Rattus norvegicus: one gene and its partner. The protein of the gene in region 1 binds, or shares a complex with, the protein of each later gene. Links are inferred from orthologs where the notes say so. Each region holds a gene or a part of one and is shown in the gene's direction. Other genes may lie near its edges. The genes, in order: Atp2b1 and Nptn.

Region 1 (3,819 bases):
CTGAGAGAGATCTTGGGCTTGATTATGTATGCTAACACTGCACCACATTCCATAGCAACCCCATGGGGTGGTGGGGCATTACATCTGATTTCCTGGAGAAATCCCATTTGGCCACCACTCCCCCTCCTCAAGTAGGCAGGAGGGGAATTCATTCCATGCCTCCCTTTCTCACTCAGCTGTATTTACACTCTGTGCAAAGGGCCAAGTTATTTAGAATGATGGTTCTCAACCTCCCTAACACTGCAGCCCTGGTGAACCCCATCATAAAATTACCTTTGTTGCTTCTGTACAACTGTAATTTTGCTACTGCTATGAATTATAACATAAATGTGTAATGTGCAGGATATCAGATATGGGATATAGATACACACACACACACACAAGCTTGTGACCACTGATTTAGACTAACACAGCTCACAGATGGGGTAGTAAGTCCCAGAAGACAAACATGAAGAAAGATAGTAATTTGAAGGGACACATGACCCAACCATATATTTTTTAAATATACATTCTATTTTCTATTTGAGTAAATGTCTTAATGGTCATTGCACTGTTAAGATAATTTTAGTGACTACTGTTTTCTTCCAGAATGTTTGTATCAGGTATAAGTAAATGGTGCCTTCATTCTTAAAATTATTGAAACAAAGGTGAACATTTCCATGTTATAAAAATATTTACATTTTAACTAATGTAAATGCTCAGCTGAATTGATTTTATCCTCTTAAAAAACATTTTTTTTGAATGACACTGGTTTATTGATCCCAACTGTTGGGACCAGAGTGACATTTTTAGGCTTGTCTTTTAACCTAGTTTCCTGTATACAGCAGACACCCAAGGAGAAAGGCAAATTGTTAGGCCGTGTAAGTCCAAATGGTTGCTAGAAAGAAAACTCTGAAACTTGGTGTCTTTTCCTTGATTTTTTTTTTTTCAGAGTCCCAGAGGGTGGTGTTTTTGGAATCTGTTCTTTCGGAGAGAACTATAGTGATTAAGTTACAATCTTTTATACACCTGCCCCCCCAAAAAAACCATTAACACTTTTGTAGAAAAATGGCATATACTCAAATACTTATAGCTGTTTAGTATTATAGATATATATTTGGGTTCATCTTTATTTTCAATTCAGGAAGGAGTGGGGCAGATGTGAATTCATTGTGGCATCCGGCTTATATCTGCTTGGCTTGTTCATAGTTGGTGACACCCTAACTCCTGGCATGATACAGAGCTCCCTTTTGTGCTTGACATTGTTTAGCTTGAATTGTTTTGAGAAATATGTGCTTTTTGATTTAAAGATAAATTCAAGTAAGCTTGTGTATGGCCAAGTTCTCATTTCGTTTTCTGGTTTTTGTTTTCGTCTTCGTAGGGAAAAAAAAAAAAAAGCCTATAAAATGGCTGTTAAATATTTTTAGCCAGTAACAATGAGATTTCGTTAGTTTTTCTTTGAATGTATACCTCTTAATTAGAGTATGTGGTTTCGTTGTTCTGTAGTGTCCTACTAAAATATTCATTTTTTTACAGTGTATTGCAAGTTCCACATTACATGCAAATACGATTCACTCATACCTAGCTGTTTGTGGATTCAAACTCATAAGTGAACCGCTGCTGGGGTTAAGTTCCTGGTGTCCTGACATCCCCCTGTGTTTTGTGCTGTTTACAGATCCGAGTGGTGAATGCATTTCGTAGCTCTTTATACGAAGGGTTAGAGAAGCCAGAATCAAGAAGTTCAATCCACAACTTTATGACACACCCCGAGTTTAGGATAGAAGATTCAGAGCCGCACATCCCCCTTATCGATGACACTGATGCTGAAGATGACGCTCCTACTAAACGCAACTCCAGCCCTCCGCCCTCTCCTAACAAAAATAACAATGCCGTTGACAGCGGGATCCACCTTACAATAGAAATGAACAAGTCTGCTACCTCTTCGTCCCCAGGGAGCCCACTGCATAGTTTGGAAACATCACTCTGATTGTAAGCTGAACGTTAACACACTAGCCGCACTGTAAAGAAACAAATTGAAACTGAGTCTTTTCACACATTGTGACGGACAAGATGGCGTTCTTGTCTCTGGACTTCAACAGAAGACACACTTGTACGAATGTAGATTTATTTTTTTAAAAAAAAAAAAAAAAGCAAAAGCTTTCTGCCAGACCGAGGGTGCTTTTTTGGGGGTGTGGGAGAGACGAACTGACAGATAAACAACGGCGCGAGTGGCCTGTGGGTCGTCAGTGGTACCTAACCTTGTCCTGACCGTGTACTAGCAGAGCTGTGGTTTATCTCAGTACTTGATGGGAGGGAGGGAGGAGTGACGCTGGGTGAGACAGAGAGCCCTGGATCATTGAGTGAATACTTTAATTTCTGCTGTTGGCTGTTAATAATTTGGATTATTTATGTTTATAAATGATACAGATCTGTTTACAAGGTTTGTAGATACTTTTTTTGTTCTTCATAGATGGGAGGCTTCCTTATCACTAATGCAGAGAAAAATTAGTCGTTCAAATACTGCTGTATTTTCAGGAAAAAAAAAGGGGGGGTGTTTCTATTGAAACTGTACTAAATTTTTGCCTACAATTTATCTTGTTAAATATGTAGATAAATTGCTAATACTAATAGCCAAATAGATAACACTAATGCTTTGTTTAAAAAAGAAAAAAGAAAAAAGAAACAAGACAAAAAAAAACATAAAAAAAAAACCATGAGCAGTGGTGTTCTAAAGAAGTCATGGCATCTGTCCTAATTAGTTTCTTAAATACATTTACTACTTAATGGTTTTGGAAGAACTGTTTAATTTTTAAATTTTTTGAAAACTTGCTAATAACCTTTTGTTCAGAATTTAGTAGACTGTTTATTGCAGGACATCCAATACACAATGAAAGATGCTTGAAATGCCTTTGTTATTTCAGGCCAATCAAATTAAACTATCAAACTACAAGAGAACCTTTAGTCTTTTTTTGTTTTTGTTTTTGTCTTAACTACGTTAGTTCAGCGATGTCTCGGTGAACTGTGAGTGACTGTATTGATTTTTTTTTTTTCTAATAACTCCTTAGAGACCTTTGCAAAGCGTAGGAGGGCTGTCAGCATTTGGAAAAAGGTTAATAGGTAGAGGTGTACATGCTTTCCTTCCGTTTTTTGGAACTTGTTTGTAAACATAAATAAATACGCCCTTTTATTAAATAAATACACGGTAATGGTTCTTCAGACAGCTCAGCTGCTTGGTTCTGTCTATGTGCCGCCTTGGCCCGTCTCCTCTAACCACAACTAGAATAAATTTCAAGCTGGTAACGGCCCCCAGGAAGGGCCTTTTGTATTCTTTCATGGTCACCCCGTAGAGTCAGGCCGAGACGGCACAGTTTTGCCAGCTAGCATACCCGCCAGAGAACCTAGTTTAATCCAGTCTCACCGTTTTATACGAAGTGACGACCACCATTGTCCCTGATGCATTTGTTTTTACTGAGTGGCCCAGTAAGAGATTAGATAATAAGGATGACACAGGAAAATCTGAGGAAGCTCCTGCACGTGATCTGTGTAGATGTAACAACCAGCTGTACTCCGAAATGCCCGTCTCTGAGACAGTTGAACTTCCGGGCTCTCTGCTTCTTTTCTGTCTACCTTCTTCCTTTGTTTGCCTCTTGTCTTGACCCTTTGGAGAGTGGTATTGTTTCAGGGCGCAGATCACGCCAGATAAACAATCCTCAGGCTGACACAAAGTTTACGAGGACTACCATATCCAAAAAAACAAAAAACAAACAAAAACAAAAACAAAAAAACAAAAAAAAAAAAAAAACGCTGACTTAGCAAAGAAACATCTAGTTTGATGGTGCT
Region 2 (3,819 bases), on another chromosome or scaffold:
ATCAGTATACATTTCTCATCCTCTTTGAATTGACTGCAAGTAGACAGGCAGTTGCCCTTTTTAGGAAGACTCTTTCAAGAGCCACAATTATTTCAAAAACTGGCTTTTCAGGAGATTTTACTAGTAGAATTTATAGCATCATGAAGAGTATTGTCCCTATCTTTTCACTAGCATTTGATTGGGTTGCTGTTACTGTTGGTTCAGCTCCTGAACTGAGTATAATAGTTCTCACTTTGATGTGAAGTACAGATTGTGCCTTTTTTCTGGTCCTGAGGATCTGTATTCAGATAGAATTCATATAGATGCATAGACAGCTGGGCTGTTTGTTTACTATGGGCCTAGGGAAGATTAGGAGATGGAAAAGTCTAAACTAAGGATAGTATCCTACATGTGAGAAATTTGCCGCCCTTCAGCTGAAATTGGGCCTCTGAATAATAAGGTACTAGATTAGTTAATGCACTTCTTGTTGAGGTTTAGGAAGGGTACTGCATCTCTAATGAAATGTTTCCCATTCAAAAATGATCCTGACTTGGCATAAAAACCCATTACCACTTCCTGTTATCTTCCATCATTTGCCTGAGTTTGGAAAGGTAATGGTTTTGTGCTCTGTGGAAGGATGTTCTTCCCACGACTTAAGGCTTTCTCATTCCTTCCAGCTGGGCCCATTGCTAAAATGCTTTCCAGTGGGCTTGCTTCTGCCTGGCCAGCATCTGGGCTGCCCCAGCTTGTAATTGGCCTGCCTTTGCTTCATAAGCTTCCCAGGGTGGTTCTTCTTCTAAAAGCTTGTATGAATTGCTATTACTGTCTCTTTATAGTTTAAAAATGAATCCTTTTTTGTTCTCTGCAACTCATTTGCTTTTTTCTTTTCTTTTCTTTCCTTTAAATTATTAACACCTGTTGATTCTTTTTTTTTTTTTCTGATTGGCCTGTCACTGCATTCCTGCTCCCCCTCCCTCTAGCTGGGTTTGTCAAGTCGCCCATGTCAGAAACTAAGCTCACAGGGGACGCCTTTGAGCTGTACTGTGATGTGGTCGGGAGTCCCACGCCAGAGATCCAGTGGTGGTACGCAGAAGTCAACCGGGCAGAGTCTTTCAGACAGCTGTGGGACGGTGCTCGGAAGCGCCGTGTCACCGTAAACACCGCCTACGGGTCAAACGGCGTGAGTGTGCTGAGAATAACCCGGCTCACCTTGGAGGACTCTGGGACTTACGAGTGCAGGGCAAGCAACGACCCCAAACGGAATGACTTGAGGCAAAACCCTTCCATAACATGGATTCGAGCCCAGGCCACCATAAGCGTCCTTCAGAGTGAGTCCAGCACCCTACAGTAGTAGTACTGTAGTCTTTAGAGGTGGCCCAATGATCCTTCCCTTCTGCTTCCTTTCCCTCTACCCTAATATAATTGCTTACCCCACCCCTTGTCTTTGTTTTTTCAAATTCATGACCCTTTTGGTTGTAATGTCTGAAAACATTTGTGGCTACATTATTTATTTATTTATTTATTTATTTATTTTTGCTGTCCTTTCTATTTCCCTTATCTCCCAACCCTTCTCTGTGTCTTTCTTCTCAGGAACAAAGAACTTGAGGAAATCCATGACTGTGTCCAAAGTCAGCTTCGCTGGGAAGAGGTGGGGAGGGAGAACTGGGGAAACAAAAATTTTTTTAATAGCACAAATGCCAGGCAGTGGAATAAGGGTAGTTGAAACTGTTTTTTTCCCTCCTCTTTAATTTTGTAGTAGGTTTCCTGCTATCCTTTTGCTGAGTGCTTCTCTGGTGCCTTTCTATTTTTATTTTTCTCCCCACTCTAACTACTTTTTATTTCCCCTGTTTATCTGTTGGAAGCTCGCTCTGAATAGCTAGCTGCCTTCACCTCTATGGTTTTAAATTTGTGTCTGCCCAGCCTTTTCCCTCGCTGTGACTTGGTGTCATCCTGTTCTGTTGATAGGAATGTTGCCATGGTGCACTGTGGTAATATGTGTTTTGTTGGGTGGCATGTAAGCTTGGGTATTTCCACAGCTCCAGCTCTTTTTCTTTTCTAAAGCAGTGGCATGTGCTTCTCTGACAGCAGCACTCCAATGCAACAGCACAGTTCTTACTGAGCCTGTTTTGTTTAAAGCAGCTGCCTGAGATTCTCTCCCTTAGTCCTGCTATCAGGAGCTAGGTGCTCTGAAGCTGAAAATTATATTGTTTTTAAAACTCTCATCATGCTGTCTTGAAAGTCAGAATTGTATCTGGTTCCTATCCACAGACAGCTTGACTTTAATGTTTTCACAAAATTCCTAATCCTGGTGGATGATAAACTCAAAAATAGTTTGGAAATCATTCACACTGTCTCTTGTCTTAAAAAAAAAAAAGTTAAATCTCAATCCAAGTTCTCTACAGTCCTGTGTCTGTTGTACAAGTTAGGTTTGGGTGACCAGTTTTCTTTCTGAAACCTGTATGGTAGGAAGCAGAGCCCATCACAAAATCTGGGCTCTCACTAGGAAGGGTTCTAGTCCTGCATTTGACTTGGTTCTGACTGAGGGGCATTCTCAATTCAATAGAGGGGCCTCTTATACTGTTGCATGATTTTGGGTGGCTCAGTGAGAGACCTGACTGATTTAGAGAGAATGAAGTTAAGTAGTAAAATACTGTTTTTGTGAGCAATTTGGTGATAACATAGTACTATGACAGAGACCCTAAATCGATAGATTTGGAAAACTGAATGTATATACTTGAATGTATATTTAGAGAAAAAAAGTCAAATTAGTATCTGCTTTGTATTCACTTGGAAAACTGGAGGAGGGGATGTGAAAGGGAGACAGGAGGGGCTGTTGCAGTTGGTACTGCTGAATCAGAGACCCTGCTTCTGTGAAGAGGAAAAGAAAACCTGTCTGTGAAAATGGGGAACATTAACCCAGCAATTTTTCTTTCTTTTAACAATTTTTTCCCCTTGCACGCCTCCTTCTCCTGCCCCCTTGCTCCTTTCCTTAAACAAAAATCAGAATTATCCAAATGGCCACAAAGGTCTCTAGAAGTTCATAGTTATAGACTGGGCATTAGGTAGTTTCACTCCCAAGAATATTAACTTGTAGCTAAAAAGACTGTATGTAGGGAGTAGAAGATTAGAGCTTTGGAGTTAAGTATGCATCAGTTCCTAAGAGCACATAGTACTTACCCGTTTACTTAGAAACCTGTTTCTTAATTTATGGGTATCTGCATATACTTGAGCCATAACCTGGCTAGTCAGTCTCTTCCTGGATATCCATATCAGTTGGTTAACTTTAATGCCCTGAATTTAACTTTAATTAAATTGTTTTGTGATCTTAGGCTCCTTAGAAACATTGCCTCTAGAGGGAGGTTGAATTCTTCTAAGAATGACATACCAGTACTTTCCCCAAAGCTCTTTGAATAATGTAAACCAAAAGAGAAATGGGTCCAGTTTTGAGGCTGGCTTTGCCATAATATGTTCTTTACATAAACATGGTGGTTAGGGTTAGGGGCCTACCTATTGCTTCTAAATAGAAGTCAGTGATAAGTAAAAATACTTGAATTTCTAAATGTTCATCTCTCTTGGACTTTGACTGGGTAGCACTGAGCCACAGAAATAAATGTCTCACCTTCATCCTGGTGTCAAACACAAATGTAGTACTGCAGCCAGAGGAGCTCAGCATAGTGCTAGTTTCACATACAGTAATGACAGGAATCAGGTTACCCCATACTACAGACCTCCTATGGCACAGAATCGACTTGCTCCCAGCTGACTCTTTCCTGGATCCTTAACATTTAAGGGAAAAAGTACTTTCTTTTGCTTTCTAAGATTTCGTAGCAGAAAGTCTAC

What was found.
Region 2: the proteins of Atp2b1 (region 1) and Nptn are in contact, whole or in part, in a cryo-EM structure (PDB 6A69), measured with the Homo sapiens proteins. The link is inferred for Rattus norvegicus from reciprocal best matches to the Homo sapiens genes ATP2B1 and NPTN. Residues at the interface, in NP_001353449.1 of Homo sapiens: Phe954, Asp955, Ile956, Asp957, Glu996, Arg997, Asn998, Val999, Glu1039, Gln1040, Leu1042, Trp1043, Ile1045, Phe1046, Met1049, Gly1050, Leu1052, Leu1053, Gln1056; in NP_036560.1 of Homo sapiens: Arg245, Ser246, Asn248, Arg332, Arg334, Pro339, Pro342, Phe343, Gly345, Ile346, Glu349, Ile350, Ile352, Leu353, Ile356, Ile357, Tyr360.

Annotation. Positions count from the first base shown.
Region 1 is NC_086025.1:35,726,795-35,730,613, forward strand, and holds part of Atp2b1 (plasma membrane calcium-transporting ATPase 1), read left to right. Parts: intron 1-1,654; coding exon 1,655-1,966; 3' UTR 1,967-3,819. UniProt on the Homo sapiens protein: Catalyzes the hydrolysis of ATP coupled with the transport of calcium from the cytoplasm to the extracellular space thereby maintaining intracellular calcium homeostasis.
Region 2 is NC_086026.1:67,927,090-67,930,908, forward strand, and holds part of Nptn (neuroplastin isoform 2 precursor), read left to right. Parts: intron 1-959; coding exon 960-1,307; intron 1,308-3,819. UniProt on the Homo sapiens protein: Probable homophilic and heterophilic cell adhesion molecule involved in long term potentiation at hippocampal excitatory synapses through activation of p38MAPK. May also regulate neurite outgrowth by activating the FGFR1 signaling pathway.